Lepisosteus oculatus: one gene and its partner. Each later gene encodes a partner of the first gene's protein in a complex. Links are inferred from orthologs where the notes say so. Each region holds a gene or a part of one and is shown on either strand. Other genes may lie near its edges. The genes, in order: atp8b1 and cell cycle control protein 50A.

Region 1 (7,664 bases):
GCAGATCCTTAGCCACAGAGCCACCGCTCCGCCCCAAAAAAAGATTGCTGAAAGAATTGGAGTTCAAACTCCGCAGACACACTGCCAAAACTAATGCTCTGGGCTCTTACTTAACTCTGAGGGGACCCGAGACAGGTATTCAAAATCCTCAAAAAGGCACCAAACCCTACAAGACTTGTTGAAAATCAGCCTTGCCAGACGAAAACAGAAAACAAAAAGACTGCGGGAGTACGGAACCAGTTTGTCGGCCACGTTGTTGAAGACGAGCCCGTCGCTGCCTTTAAGACACTACTGGTTGACATCCTGATCAATGAGTTAAGTTACGAAACGATGTACCGTCGGCCTCCCGTCATTTGAAATCTTCCCAACACCGTCATGAAATACCACTTTTGTATCGCGTATATAGATAACCGAATGGATCAAATTACTAACTTTATTCTAGGTCAGGCAAAACAGTTTTTTTTTTCCCAGCCAGCGAGCTGGCAGATAATGCAACATAAGGTTTTGCATGATCTTATTGCAAAATATTTGCAAAATAAGGCGATACATCCCATTCTGCTCAAGCAAGCACTTAGGCGAGCATGCAGGGTGAAACGACACCCCACCAAAACAAGACGATTCTTTGTGCATTTGCATGTGCAAAAACGATCCGAGGCTCTTAAGCGGCAGGTTCCTGCGCAGGAGCTGCTGACGATCTGCGAGCGCAGGAGCTGAAGTACTCACCTCCGGCACAAGACGGTCCACTCCCCGGATCTGGCCGTAGACCCCCCAGCCGCCTACAACCGGCAGGACGCCAGCGGTCCTGCCCGGAGGCCCGGTGTTGTAGGCCTGGGGGAAAAGCATCGGGGGAAACGCACTGTCCGTACGCCCGGCCATGTCTGGGCTCGACCCATGTGTCAAACCGGCCCCGTTTAACCCCAGCACTGGGCAACGAGGCGAGCGCGTCTCCCTTCCGCTCCGCGCTGCGCTGCACGACTAGGTACAAACCTGACGGGGTTTTTTGTTTTTGTTGGTTGGTTGTTAAATTAATTTCCCGACACCATCAGTCCGAAACAAGAACGCGTACGCGCCACACGTGTTCCTGTAAACGAAAGGCTCCGAAAACGGAAGCCAACGCGGCAGGAGGAGTCTGTTTTGACGCCAAACTGGGGGGACTGGGGGGTGGAGAGAGGAAAGAGTGAGCCCTTCCCCTGGATGAGACCGGTAACCAATCGGAGGAGAAGGAGCTCGCCAAGGCCCTTCAGGCTTAGTGGAAAAGGGGGACGCCACTACATTCAAATTCAAACAGCTTTATTGTCATGACCGCAGTGTTACAGTGGTGCCAAAGCGCACACGGCGAATACAAAGGTCTACAGACATTTACACAACACAAATACATCTTGGGACATGTACAGCCAACACATAGAACTGACTAAAACCGTTTCCATCACTAACCGGTACGTCGGTTACCGGCTGTTGCCAAATTTGGAAAAAAAAACAGCGATTATTGTCAAGGCAAATAACCCTGGCCTCTGCGAAACTTGAGCCGGCAAGAGTCCAGTGCAAAAAAAAAAAACTTTCATTAAACCCGGTTTCAGGCGTACTGTAGGTGCGCCACCACATTTGGGAGTCTGGGGTTTAAACGTAGCCTAAGGTGTAAATTAAACGTCAATCCTTTTTACTAAATTGTTTTTTTTTCTTCTTTTTCGTTTGGTCGTGGAGTAAAGAGTATCAGCGGAGAACTGTTTTATTTGATCAACGACAGCTGTCCATTTTTTTAATGTTGGCGATTTGTCTCGATGCGTTCCACCAGCTGGTAGTTTTTTAATTAGTTTTTCTTAGGTCATCTGTTCTACAGTATAATCGTAATTTGCACTGTCGGTCCATCAATGTGATCGGCAAACCTTGCCAATGAAGACCCAATTCGAAGAAAATGCAAATAGCAACTTTCAAAGAGGGGTCTCTGCAGGTGACGGGGTGGATTGAAATTATTTTTTTTTAAAAAAAGATATAGACGCTTCTTTATTGAGAAAAAAGAATCATATACAACTATTTTATTCCCTGCCCCTGATTGATAATTAAGCGTGAAGGTCAATTCAGTAAAAGTCTATTGGTCGGTTTACACAATGATGTATTTCGGTGTCAGGGCACTTTTAAAATGCCGCTTTGTCTCACAGTGTCCGGGGAATATGGGGCCAGTCGCTGCCCTAGTCTAGAGGGAGGAGGCGCGACTGTACCGGCGGAGAGGAGAGGAATTTAACGGAGAGAGAGGCACTAGCTGTGGAGCACAGGGCACCACTTTCAGGGCTCACACATTTCAGACACGCTGCTCCGGCTTCAGCCAGCAGCGCGAGAAACTGGGGGCTCCCTTGGCGGCGGTGTGGGAGGGGACCCGGCTGCTGAGCCCTCAGGTGTGGGGCTGCACTGAGACCACCCGCAGGACCCCAGAGCGAGATGGAAACTCCACTCAAGGCGGGCGACGGCTCTCTGACATGGGATTGGGAGGAAGGGGGCAGATAGTAACACAAACAGGTTGTCCCATCGAGTCACGTGTTCTGACGCTCCTGCCGAAGGCGGATGGGCGAGGGGACTCCTGTTCAGGAGACAGGAAACAGAAACTAGCTCTAGGGGTGCCTTGTAAATGGATGACCCTGTGCTCTGACCCCCAGCTTCTCTCCCTCTCCGTGTGTGCATGCGAAAAGACAAATTCCTAATACCAGAAATTGTATATGGCCAATAAAGTGATCTTATCTTATCTCTTCTCTCCCTCAGAGTTTCTACGCCCAGTGAAAGGATAGAGGGATAAATAAAAACATGTTTTTTTTTTTTTGCTGTAGTCCTTCCTGTTATGTATTACTCCTGTTATGTTTATTACTCCTTCAGTAATAAAGGTGGCACACCTGTGCCTGTGTTTTACCAAGGTCTGTGCTCTTATGCCCTGAATGTATGGGTTCTGTTTCATTATTATTCAATGGTGCACATATCTACTTGAAGCATATACTGTAGAACAATAAATAACCATTCACTGAATGGAGAGTCACAGGGTTTAATAAAATAATCTTTAAATGTTCCAAAGAATCATCAATTGATGTGAGCAGGAGACTCACATGTTCTTTAAATCAATCCACCTTTTAAGTGAATGAGAAAGATAGGAGGATTGATAAAACTGTTTGTAACAAATTTGTGACAAGTTTGTAACAGTATTATCAAGCCCTCCTTTTCTTTGTAAGGTACTTTAGAATCGTAATATTGATTTAAAATATGGTGACACACAAGCTGCCACAGATCTATGAAGTTAAGCATCTAGCTGGGTCAGTAGTGGGATAACAGGTTGCTGCTGTAAGTGGCGATGTTGGACCAGTAGGTGGCACTCTTTCCAAGCCGGACCCCAGTATGAATGGTACATAAATCCAAAGTCCTGACTACTTGGTCACTAAGGCTCTTAATGATAGAGAAAAGATACTAATCCTGGTGTTCAGGCCACATTACACACTGGGCGTGTTCAATCTGGCCTTTCTAAAGTTGCCTTGCTGGCTTCGGTCAATTGCTGAAGCATTTCTTCACTAACGGATCTGCTGTGTACTGGCTCATGTAGACTGCTGCCTGTCCCCTACATCAGTGCTGTGTTACATTGGTACATGAAGTGGATCTCATTCAATGTCTAGTTGTGAGATCCTCAGGGATTAAAAAACATGCCATATACTGTAAATGCAAGGAATTGTTATTATTTTACCTTAAACATGAGAATGTATGTGTGGTTACAAAAGAGAGGAGACTAGGTGACCCATCTAACCTATTTGGTAGCTAGAAGTTAATTGAGCCAAGGAACTTGTTAAGACATTTCTTAAAAGTAACCAAGGTATATCAGCTTCAACACCATGGCTGGGTAACCTGTTCCATAACTACACAACCTTTAATTGTCTTAATTAATTGTATACAAGCTTCTCCTTCCTATACAGGGAACTCAATGTCCCAGCTCCCAAAAAAGTAACCTTTTTCAGACTGAAAGTCACCCAGAACAGCAGAATGTACATGTGACCACATAACAATTTGTAATTTAGGAAGCATATGTTGTTATACACTTACCGACAAATGCAAAATCAAACAACCTACAACTGGGAGCTCAGCAGGAGCAAGTGAATTCATGATTCTGAGGATTATCTTTGGCTATAAAGCTGCATAAAATAAAATAAAAAATGATCAATGGGGACCAATAGCAGATCATAAGGGGAAAACGCTGCGTTCTTCGGTTATGCTCCACCTGTTACTAAAACAAACGTAAAATAATCTAGCAAGTCACTAAATTAAGAGGTACAGATTCAAAAAGGAGGGACGAAATTAATACTATACGCAGTGTAAAAAAATCGAAACACTTTGCATTTTTAAAGATGACCTCTACTTGTCAAAGACATATACGAATATTATGTTTCGTATCCGTGCAAACCCTGTTTTGTTACGTCCTAATTTCACTTCATGCAAATACTGTTCCAATTTGGCTATGAATGGGATGATAGAGCCCTATCTCACCTTTACCTGCCCAGCCACGTGACCGTAACTCTTCCTTTTCTACCGGTTAGAAAGAAATGTTTGTGTTCGCCCAGGACTAAAATGTCTCAAGTCGTTTGCTCCTAATTCGAAAGGTTTACCACACAACAAAAACCCGGCCGACCCGTTTATCTAGTTTCTGAACAAGGTAGCCATTATTACGCTTGCGAAAGGGAGTGAGCCGAAACCTGCGCTTAGCTTGTGACGGGGAAACGACTTGCTCGTTAACATGGTTCAACGGGTTGAAAGGCGAAAAGAAGCGTAAAAAAAGAAGAAGAAAAGAAACAAACTACCGAAATATAAAGGAATTTGGTAAGTGTTTTTTTCAAGTCTCGTTTTAATCGCATCCCTGCGCTCATGATTGCTCTTCAGGTTGGCTCTTACCTGAGAGTTTGAGTTAAGCGTGTTTCCCTCAACGTATGTAGGCGTTTTCTATCGCATGATTTTAGAAGTTTTGAGCAGTTTTACAACTTGCGATATAACTCATAAAAAAAAACTAAAGTCTTGGGAATATATTAATATTTTGCATACAACGTCCTTACATTCCGCTTGCATGATATCTAAAGAGACTGAATTGACGTCGGAAAGTTTTAATGATTCAAAAAAAGTTTTTTGTTTTAAAAAACCCATTAGAGCTGATATTCCCACTTGTTAACGTAAACACTTAGTATTCTTTTTATTGAGAAGTAAATACGCGAGATTATGGCTTCTCACTTTGTAAGCACATCGTTTTACCTGGATGTTTGACTAAGTCAGTGATCGCTGGAAATAAGTAGAATTTAGAAATTCTTTTAGTCTGGATGTGTATATATATTAATTTATGATGTGAAAAAATGGTAGCTCTCTGTGCTGTTGGATTTCATTTGCTTCATAGCGATATTAATTAGCTCGTGCAATCCTTTTTTCATACTGTAAAGATGTTTATGATCGGTATGGTAAATGAACCCTCCCCTTTACTTGCGGAGAAATTGAAAAAATTGTATTTTTTTAGCTGATCTACTGGATGTCAGGGGCTGACTGGGGAAATATTTCACCGTTAGAACAGATGTAAGCCACTATTGTTAACAACGCGAAGGTTATTGCGGAGGAGTGGAGAACAGTTGGTAAAACCTTCTTTATTGATGGGCGTAATAACGAGCCTTCGTGGGTGATCTCTGAGATTCAGAATTCACGGTTATTTGACATCGGTTGTTTTCCAGTTTGGAGGCTGAGGAAAAGGTTTATGTCAGACTCAGTCGGGACGACACGCCTATCAAATCGTGATTGGATGAAACGCCAATCAGAATCTTGTTTTTATTAGTCCTACTACTCTAGGAGTGGAAATTTACTGCATTTGGGTGTAATATAGAGCTTTATTTAACATCACCAGTATTGGCTGTATAAATTATCTTGAATTGTTCAGCCCTTTGTATTCACTCTCCCCGCTACTTAGATGTTATAACTGATACGTCGTCGTCGTGTTATTGTAGAACGCCCCGTTCATCACAGGTGTTTAACGCAGTATTTAACGCTGTTTTCTGATGTAATTACTTGAACTTCTTAATTTGGATACCGCATTAACCCTTTTGGATCCCTTCTGTCGCTGATAAAGAGTGCTGGTTCAGGCTTGCCCTGAATCAGTGTATCTTGAAATATGACTAGTTTATTGATGATGTTGAGGTCGGTGTCATTTCTGGAGAAAAAAAGCTTGAAAATCAGAAATATCAGCATCTCAACCACTGAGCCCTGCGCTACCTCACTCCTGGCTGAAACGTCTCCTTTTATAAGTAGTTTTTTATTGATGCGAGTTGTTACTAAATATCTTCGTATTATTGTAGAAATTGTGAATCAGAAACGGCAAGACAGTAAATAAAATGCTTCAATTGTTAACATATACTGTATATATGGAATGCCGATCCATAGTAGTATTTGCCATTACTAAGAAAATAATCTGAGGTCGAGACAACACTGCGTGAGGACCTGTAATTCTGCTTTTTTGTTTGTAAGGCAGTTTCTCGTTAGTAAATCCTTTATTGACTGTTTTCTATAATACTGTTCCCAAGTAGGAAACCCTCCATCTCGGCTCTGAACATTCAGTTTAATTGTACAGATAAATAGAAGCCTACAGGGTTTGTAATTAACTCCAGACGTTTTACTCTCTAGTCCTGTAAATGCTAGTTTCTTTACTGGACATTTCCCATAACGATGCTATGGGACGGTCTGTGATCCAATATAGGATGTCATCAAAGACATTTTCGTATTTATTTGATGAATTTCACTTTTTCCTTCAGTATTCTATGTGGTGAATTAAAAAAAAAACATCTGGAAGTATTTTTACCCTTAATGGTAGTGTTTTGAATGTTCATTTGTTGAGGGAAGCGGGTGTAATTCTGCGATTCTGCTTTTTACTGATCTGATGTTTTCAATAGTTAAGTAGGCGTTTCTTATGTAAGTTAAATACTTAAGTAAAGTATAGATACTAAGATTATTCTGATGCTACTCACGTTTTGAGAATAACATGTTGATAAGATCATCATTGCAAAATAGTTTGCCATGTGTTGTAAAAAGAACAATACTTTCTATGATTAGGCTGTAGTGTAAGAGTGTTCAAGTTTTTTTTACCTATATTTAAGGATCACCTTTCTTTAAAAACAACTTGAAGAACACATCGTCTACTTCTTCGTGTTGGAATCCAAAAAACGAATGATCTCAAACAAATGTTACTGGAGCTGTTCAGGAATGCTTTAGGTATTGCACTTGTCTGTGTCTTCAGCTCTATTTAAGTGGATGTCTTGTTCATGTTACTGACAGAAAGTAGGATATGGTGACGAACTTTCAAGAGACCAGCACTGTTTTATCGATTCTTAATCAATGTCCTTCGAGAAATGTATCAAATTATTTACTGTTACTATGGCAGCTAACCTATGAGTCTCATATTCTAGTTGATAACATTTTTTTTCCCATTGTGTCCTACAGTAAAAAAAAAATACCTTGGTAAAAAAGAATGTCGTTTTTATCTAAATCTTGTATTTTTAACAGACTACAGAGCCCCAATTTGGTTAGTGGGGCATTCAATACTAGAAAATACATATATTCTAGTTTTAGCATTTAAAGTGCTAAAAATCCAATTAGTAAGAAATGCCTTTGGTACATCCAAGTAT
Region 2 (8,136 bases), on another chromosome or scaffold:
ATACTCCAATAATGCTATTGGATGCAAGCAGAGTCAAACAGTTCCACAGTAATGGATTGTCTGTGTATGTGTGGGGAGAGAGACATGCATTTGTGTGGTATTCATGCACACATTCCACTGTCTTCAATGGAAGACAAATATGTAGCTGTATTTTAATTTTAATCTAATTAGAACTTTTATTTTCTTCCTTTTTAGAGTGTTTCCATATCAGATTAATGACTTGTACAGTATGTTAAGAACAAAATATACATAAGTCATATAATAAACCTGCTCTGCAGCAATGCCATATATTTATCTCCAACTCTATCTCTGGACAGGTCTTAATTCATAAAATATCAATCTATATTTTTTATTAGTCTTATCCAGTACAGGGTTGTGGTATAGATCCTTATTAAATTGTAACTTTTGAAAATTTACAAAACTTAAATTTAAGAACAACTAAAAAAAACATTTAGTTTTTTTTTGTGGGGTGAATTAAGTGATTTACTGAAACAAAATCTGACGAACCTGAAACCTTCAACCCATAATTACCAAAGTCCCTTTATTGAAAACATTTTTACTTGTGTAATTAATATATACCTCACCAGGACTCCCAATCAATAGAACGATGAAGGATGAACCGGATTTGGGCTCAACACAACCAGTGCTGGTCTCCTGATATAAAGTGTTCAGTTGCAGAGCTGGTTCTCCTGGCTTTTGGCAGAGCACATTTCACTAGATACCGTTCAGATATCCTTGTCAACAACCCTGGGATTCATGGGGCTGAGCTGTGCACAGGGTAAGCCTTTGGGCTCATGGTTGGTGACTAGGTTGGTTGGTTCAAGTCCACACTGCAGACACTGCTGTTATGTCCTTGATCAAATCACCTGCCTGCTCCGGTCCACCCAGCTGTATCAATGGGAAACTGTGTTGCTGTGGGGGGGGGGGCATAATCCCTGCAATAGTCTGGTGTGTGATCGAAGGGGGTGGTATGTGCTCTCTAGTCTGCTTAATGATGCAGACAGAAATAAGAATAATTTCTGTCTTAATGAGCAACTTTGGCACCAGTATGGACTTTTTACCCTGAGACGCATGATACTACATTTTTGTGAGGCACTTTGTCAGGTTGCTGTTTATCTCCCTGTGTCTGCAGTCTAACGAGCTCTGATGGTCTATTGGTGGCTTCTAAACTGGACCGAATGTGGATCCTCCATGTCACTAATGCCTTTAGTGAGTGTGGAGCAGGACTCATTACCAGCACTGAGCCTGTTACAGAAGGTGACATCACCTTCTTGGAGCCTGGGTACCCCTGGAATCTGACCTTTCTTCCAGGCAGAATTCACTGCTCTCTGGCGGGCGGTGACCGTGAGGCCCTGAAGCTGGCGTTGCCTGTTAGCGACCATGATCAAATTCTGGCAGGGGCAGAGCCGCGCTCGTCACAGGCTCGGTGATGTCAGCTACAATGAGAAATACAGCCTGAGGCCTCCTTCTCCCCCTAATTCTGGGTGGTACGACAATGGATCAATTGACCACAGGTGTCTAAGCCTCCTCCTGTTTCACTTTAGATCATTACAACTTAAGGAAAACTACGATTGTCCCCCAAGAGACTGCATGTCAGGTTGCAAATGCGTGGTGCTCGAAGAATTCAACTCTAAACTCTGAACGTTGACGTGCAAGGCTTGTTCCACTGTAAACAAAAATGATGGAGGCTGATTAGGCTGTGATTTTTCATGTTGTCAGCAACAGTAACCTTCCAGCAAGGGCCTCTGCTGCCAGGTGATGAAATCTCCTTAAATTATGGTTTTCCTGTCAAGTAACCATGTCAAACACAACACACTGACCCTGGTTTCTCTATTATTGTTGGTTCTCCTTTTTTCTCACATATGCTTTAACAGTATAGACCAGTGGTTATCGGTTCTGGTCCTGTGGTTTCAGCTTCAGCTGGGTTAACACCAGTGCAAACTGGTGCCAGTAACTGATTTGCTTGCTTGTTTAGGCCTCGGCTTCAAAAACACTAAAGTCTTCAGTGTATTATTTCTAACATTCTACAAAACTTTATGAAATCTCTCCTGAACTTGCTGAGTAAGTTCCCTTATTTCTAACTAAAAAGCTTATATATACATAAAGTAATATGCAAGCTTGAATAGGTGACTGTTTTATAATGAACAGATGCACATGGGAATGATAATATATCAATATACAAAACACTCCTTCATGAACTGAGAGTTTTTCCTTGTCCAATCAGTCATATTTCAAGGAAACACACTTGAAATGAGGTCACTTCTGGAACTCACTAATTAGTATAAGGCTGGAGCCAATTACAAATTCCTATTCGCCTTTTTGAGAGCTGAACGCAAATTTTAAATAGGTCTTGAATGAAAACTGGGATTAAGATGGAGCAATCACTCCAACAACCAGGCGGAGCAAAACCCCAAGGGCGGAGATGTCCCCCAGGGCCAGAAAGGAGAACCGCTGGTGTAGAAAGTCTTCATTAGAGAACACAGATCAGCATGGAAGATTCCAGAAAGGCATGGTCTGGAATATTTTAGCAGACCTGAAACCATATCATGCCAGTATGATTATTACCAGAGCCCCAGCTAGCTCTGTGGGTAGAGCATGAGACCCCCTAATCTAATTCACCTATGTATTTATTTATTTTGTTTGTCTTTTGTTTTATAACTATTCTGATGTCTGTTTTGCTTGTCTTGGTCTGGACTGCTGTAACACATCAATTTCCCTACGGGATTAATAAAGTATTATCTATCTATCTCAGGGTAGTGGGTTCGTGTCCCAAGTCGGGCGCCAGGTTGTCTAATAACCCATACTGGGCAGCAGCAGGGTGGGGTGGTGTTGGCGGCGGAGGATCACGTTTCCGTGACAACGGCAACAACGCTCGCGCTATCTGTGTGGAAGAAAGGCCTGGAATCTACTTCTGTATCCTGCCATGAAAACTGTGGATAGTGACAGGGGAACTATCCATAGGATTGCCATGACCCGATGGTACTCATCCCATCCCGTGATTATTACCATGAAGTTCAAGTGGAGAGCTGCGTCCGCATGCGTAGGCAGTGAAGGAACATGCAGAGGTTGATTCCACGCTGAAAGGTAAAAAAACGACACCTGAAGGAGGCTCCACAGTCAAAACCTTTACCTGTTCCTGATTATTGCCATGCCAGTAGAATATGTTTTCAGTGGGGTCCCTGGATCCAATTGGTATGTCTCAGTATTTTTAACAATTATTTTCTTTAACTTGTTTGAGGACCATTTCTATTTACACTATATACTCTATACATATGTTGATATAATTGTAATCGAGTTTATATTGATGTTTTTGGGTGATGCGTTTATCCTGAGACTTATATTTGCACCACTATATACAGCTGGAACAATCTAGCCAGCAGCCATATCACCACTCAACTCACAACTGGCAGCCCACTGAAGCTCAGCAGGTGTGAGCCTGATCAGTACCTGGATGGGAGACCTCCTGGGAAAAACTAAGGTTGCTGCCGAAAGAGGTGTTAGTGTCACCTGCGGTCTATGTGGGTCCTAATGCCCCAATATAGTGACGGGGACACTATACTGTAAAAAGTCGCCGTCCTTCAGATGAGACGTTAAACTGAGGTCCTGACTCTCTGTGGTCATTAAAAATCCCATGGCGTTTCTCAAAAAAGAGTAGGGGTGTTACCCTGGTGTCCTATCCACATTTCCTCCTAATAAACCTGATCTCTGAACTGGCTCCATCACTCTGCTCTCCTCCCCACTGATAGCTGATGTGTGGTGAGTGTACTGGTGCACAATGGCTGTCATCACATCATCCAGGTGGGGCTGCACATTGGTGGTGGTGGAGGGGAGTCCCCATTATCTGTAAACCACTTTGAGTGGAGTGTCCAGAAATTAATTATTATTATTAATCTCAAAGGTACAGCAGCAGTGTCTCTCCCGGGGATCTGAACCAACAACCAGTTCAAGTCCAAAACTCTATCCACTTACTGCACACTCCTACCCTGCAGTTAGTAAACTGTAGATGACTGCAGATATTACCAAAATAGGAGGATCATCAAACACTGTAGAAGATTTAATGGAAACTCAAAATTTCCATTTCCATTGACAAATTCAAGCGAACACATGAACTGTGAAATTCTGAACTTGAAGAGGCCACTTATGAAAAACAAATAAGGTGGTTATCTTGACACAACATTTCAATCTTGACAGTGTGGCAAAGCAATAAAAAAGTTTAGATTGACTTTACTGTTACTTTAAAATTATGTAATGCACTAGCAAGACTTAATTCGCACTCGCAGTACTATCTGTACAGTATTGTTCACTGCGTTACAAGAATTGCGTATTTTTGCTCTGGAATTAGTGCAGATAAATCAGACACAACCTCGAGCTTTAAGGATTGTTCTACACTGACTGACTGAAACGCACAGAACCTCTGTAATCTCAAACAGTAAAAGGGACCTGATTCAAATACACGGCATGAAAGGTTTATTCATAATGTATAATACTGTACCAGAGGAGAAAGCACGGAAGAACTTTATCCTGGGATTTTTTTTTGCTACTCTTGCATCGATCACAGTCGCAAAATGACATTTTATCACACAGATGTATTCCTTAAACGCTTTAGCGACAAGCTGAATGGCGGATTGCCAGCGCCCGAGGCGAATAAGGAATTGCACAATGTGCCATAAACTGGTAACTTCATAAAGCGCAAAGATGCATTATTGCTTTGGCGCTCTGCATAAGAAAAAACATAAGAGTCAAATAAAGTCTGTGTGAGAGACAATAAGAAATTTGCATGCACTCTATTACTAAATTTATCTTAAGAAAATAAATTGTTGTAGAACACATTAAACACACAAACCTAAAGTGTTTTTAGCGCGATTAACTCTCAGTTTCCCCAATACCACCCATAGGAACATCGCGCGTCCGCTCTGCGATTAACAGACGTCATCACGCACGTTACGTGTTTGGGATTTAGAAGCTTCCTGGTTTTATTTAGTCGCTGCTGCTTTTCCTTGATGGGGGGGTAGAATTTAAAGGTTAAAGGAGTATCGTTATTGATATAATTTTTCATCGTAACGAACTACATACATGTAGTTTAGGGCGCCGGTGTTTCACCGATCGCAGCCTCTCGTCCTCGTAATTCTTCTCTCCGGGTTTCTGTGTTGGTGGTGCAGCGAAACGGGATATTAGCCATGATGGCGTCTAGCTATAACGCAAAGGAGGAAGACGGTCACCACTCCGGGGCCTCCGGGCCTGGCGGCGGTGGGGCTATCAAGAGCAAGAAGCCGGACAACACAGCCTTCAAACAGCAAAGGCTGCCCGCTTGGCAGCCCATCCTCACCGCGGGCACGGTGCTGCCCGCTTTCTTCGTCATTGGTCTCATCTTCATCCCCATCGGCATCGGGCTCTTCGTCACTTCGAACAACATCAAAGAATTCGAGGTACGGCGGTGTTGGCATGAGCACAGTATTAAGGGGTAACTGCGTGGTGTCTTGGGGGTACTGCGAATCACCTGTAGCGGTTTCGGGGCTGCAGGTCTCTGAATGATACACTACAGCCTGCGGTTCTGTGTACACTCGGATATCAACACATTATCGTCTCGGCACCAGTCTTCTACAGTGTTATTCAGTAATGAACTTTTATTACTGTATATAACTCAGTATTTTTTTGCATTCGCCCAACCTCGATGTAGTGATTTTTTTTGTTAGGTATGATGAAGGGTGTGAAAACGTATTTCTGCGTCTCTGGTGTGTTGAAATGCACTAGCACTCAATGTTGCAACGTTCATGGCCATACTCTAAACACTGTTGATTCTTCAGAATTAAGCGCCGAAGTGTGTTCAGTATAGGGACATCAGTTTTGCTCTTTCAGTATGACCGGTGTATATTTAGTGCAGTTTGCACTCTGATGTATTGCCACGGTAGTTTTCGTGAGGTTAAGTAAATATTTGATCTTAACATAGAAGGCATATGCAAAGGTAATTGAATTTCTGTTGGCTCATTCGTCCGTGTAAAAGAATGCCATTATGTTCAATCCGAGAATGCCGAGAATGCCATTATGTTCAGTGCCTTCCTTGCATTTAAAATAGTTAAAGCAGGTACAGTATTTGGTTTGCAGGCATGTGTAGACTTTAGGCATACGGTTTATGCTGTGGGTTACAGTAACAAAACAAGTTCTGTATGTCTTTCAGCTCTGCAGAAGAATGAACGTGGAGCTGTGTGTATTACTGCACTCTGATTGTCTTCTCTTAAAGGCATACTTTAGAAGTGTAATTTCAAATCCTTTTGTCCATTTAATCTCTTCATTATTGTGAACAATGCTAAAATATTGTTATACTGATCTTATTGTAAGTGATTACAGCTGGTTTTGTTCCATATTGAATTCTTGCAAGTACGTAAACCAGTTTCTTGTCTCTTAAGAGCTGATTGATTATCCCCTAGTAATAGCTGTGCCTTCTATATTCCAGATTGATTACACTGGCATTGACATGTCTAGTCCCTGCTTCAACTGTTCTCAGACGTACAGCTGGAACAGCACAAAGCCTTGTATGTGCTCTGTCCCTTTTACACTGGACCAGCCCTTTGAGGTAAGACCGAAGTGATGTGTAAGTTTTAGAGTAACTGTAACTTCATCCATTACACTTAGTCCAGTACAGAGTCATGTTGAGCCAGAGCCTGCGCTGGCAGACGAGATATGAAGTCTGAAAGACCCTGGATGGGACAATTATAATATTATGAGATGCAAACTAATATCCACCCACATCAAATCAAAGTTTATTTATCAAATGCACAACAATAATTGCTGGCAATGAAATATTTCAAGAATCACAAAAATCACAAAATTAAGGTTACAAAAATAAGGTTACCTGATAATAGATAATAATGTACTAGTAACGGAATAAACCTCAATATGAATAGAGCTGCTATGTGTCCATGGTGTATGCAATATATTATGTCCAGGTAGTGCAGTATGCTGAACTGTGCCAATATTCAAACTTATGTCTATAAGTGTTTGTCGGTCATATCTAATCACCGAGCAAACAGTATGTGCAGTTAGCAGTACGAAAAACAAAACAAATAAGAAATAGACAAGGATGAATGGGAGCTCGCAGGACGGCAGCCTTCCCTGTCGGCGCCATTTTACAGATCTTTTCCATCCATTTTCTAACCGCTGTGTCCGGTTCGGTGTCGTGGGGGAGCAAGGTGGGATACACTCTGGATGGGACACCAGTCAATGGCAGGCAGACATAGACACATGCTCACACCAGGCCCAAGTATGTGTTTGAACTGTAGGAGGAAACTGGAGCACCCAGAGAAAACCTGTAACATACATGTGGGGAACATGCAAACTCCACACAGATCTTGTCGAACCCAAGCTCCAGCAGTGCAAGGCAACAGTGCTAACTGCTGAACTGCTGTGTCACCCTTAAATTGGTATATTTTTTGAGAAATAACTAATTTCTCCTTAGGGAATTCCTGTGCATGAGCACTGAGAGAATAATTACTAGTAGTTGGCTGGAATATGTGTAAAACGTATGTCCTGTCAGAATATGTATTGGCTTACATTTAGTGATTAAATGTCAATTGTTCGGACAGCATCTGAGGTGCCTTTTCAGATGAGCTTCCAGATTCTCATCTGCTTGCGCTGCTATTAACCATGCTCACAATGTCCAAAGCCCAGCAGCACTCATGAATCAGAGTTATTTCTCAATGAATAATTCATGCAATGGAATTTTAGGTCTGGAAGTGATGCGCACAAGATCCACCTGAGACACAAATGGATGACTTTTGTTTGATTCATGAAAAACATTCACCTTTGAATTTTACATTGGTTGAAATTAACCCAGTCGTGTAATTATTAGCTGTATGTGAAAATAGTGCATTCTAGGAGCCCAAAAGTTTTCTTTCTTTTCAGTTTTTCATTCTGTCTTAATGCAGAGTATTTTTATTGGAAACCCAGTCACAGTGAGATTAATGAGTCAAGCCTGCTGGAAGATGCATCATCTGTGACAGCTTTTAATTATACATAAGCTTGGTACTTTTTAATATTTATGTGTTTGCTAAACCCAAATACCGCAAGAAGCATTTACTTTTTAAATGTTAATTGTTTTATTTATGCTACCTTTGATACCTGTTAATTGCTTTCTGGGTG

What was found.
Region 2: the proteins of atp8b1 (region 1) and cell cycle control protein 50A are in contact, whole or in part, in a cryo-EM structure (PDB 7VGI), measured with the Homo sapiens proteins. The link is inferred for Lepisosteus oculatus from reciprocal best matches to the Homo sapiens genes ATP8B1 and TMEM30A. Residues at the interface, in NP_001361314.1 of Homo sapiens: Thr138, His359, Trp362, Glu363, Val366, Ser369, Ser370, Trp371, Tyr372, Leu373, Tyr374, Asp375, Gly376, Arg384, Ile388, Phe418, Asn420, Trp421, Asp422, Leu423, Tyr426, Lys430, Asp431, Thr432, Pro433, His939, Trp942, Arg946, Tyr968, Phe971; in NP_060717.1 of Homo sapiens: Lys24, Thr25, Arg26, Arg27, Pro28, Asn30, Phe33, Lys34, Gln35, Gln36, Arg37, Leu38, Pro39, Ala40, Trp41, Gln42, Pro43, Ile44, Leu45, Thr46, Ala47, Val50, Phe54, Ile57, Phe61, Ile64, Ile68, Ile75, Phe119, Tyr121.

Annotation. Positions count from the first base shown.
Region 1 is NC_090698.1:66,524,624-66,532,287, reverse strand, and holds the start of atp8b1 (phospholipid-transporting ATPase IC), read left to right. Parts: upstream 1-4,545; 5' UTR 4,546-4,836; intron 4,837-7,664. Other genes in the region: taf1c (TATA box-binding protein-associated factor, RNA polymerase I, subunit C), read right to left, coding at 724-876. UniProt on the Homo sapiens protein: Catalytic component of a P4-ATPase flippase complex which catalyzes the hydrolysis of ATP coupled to the transport of phospholipids, in particular phosphatidylcholines (PC), from the outer to the inner leaflet of the plasma membrane.
Region 2 is NC_090697.1:9,267,463-9,275,598, forward strand, and holds the start of cell cycle control protein 50A, read left to right. Parts: upstream 1-4,934; 5' UTR 4,935-5,177; coding exon 5,178-5,426; intron 5,427-6,451; coding exon 6,452-6,571; intron 6,572-8,136. UniProt on the Homo sapiens protein: Accessory component of a P4-ATPase flippase complex which catalyzes the hydrolysis of ATP coupled to the transport of aminophospholipids from the outer to the inner leaflet of various membranes and ensures the maintenance of asymmetric distribution of phospholipids.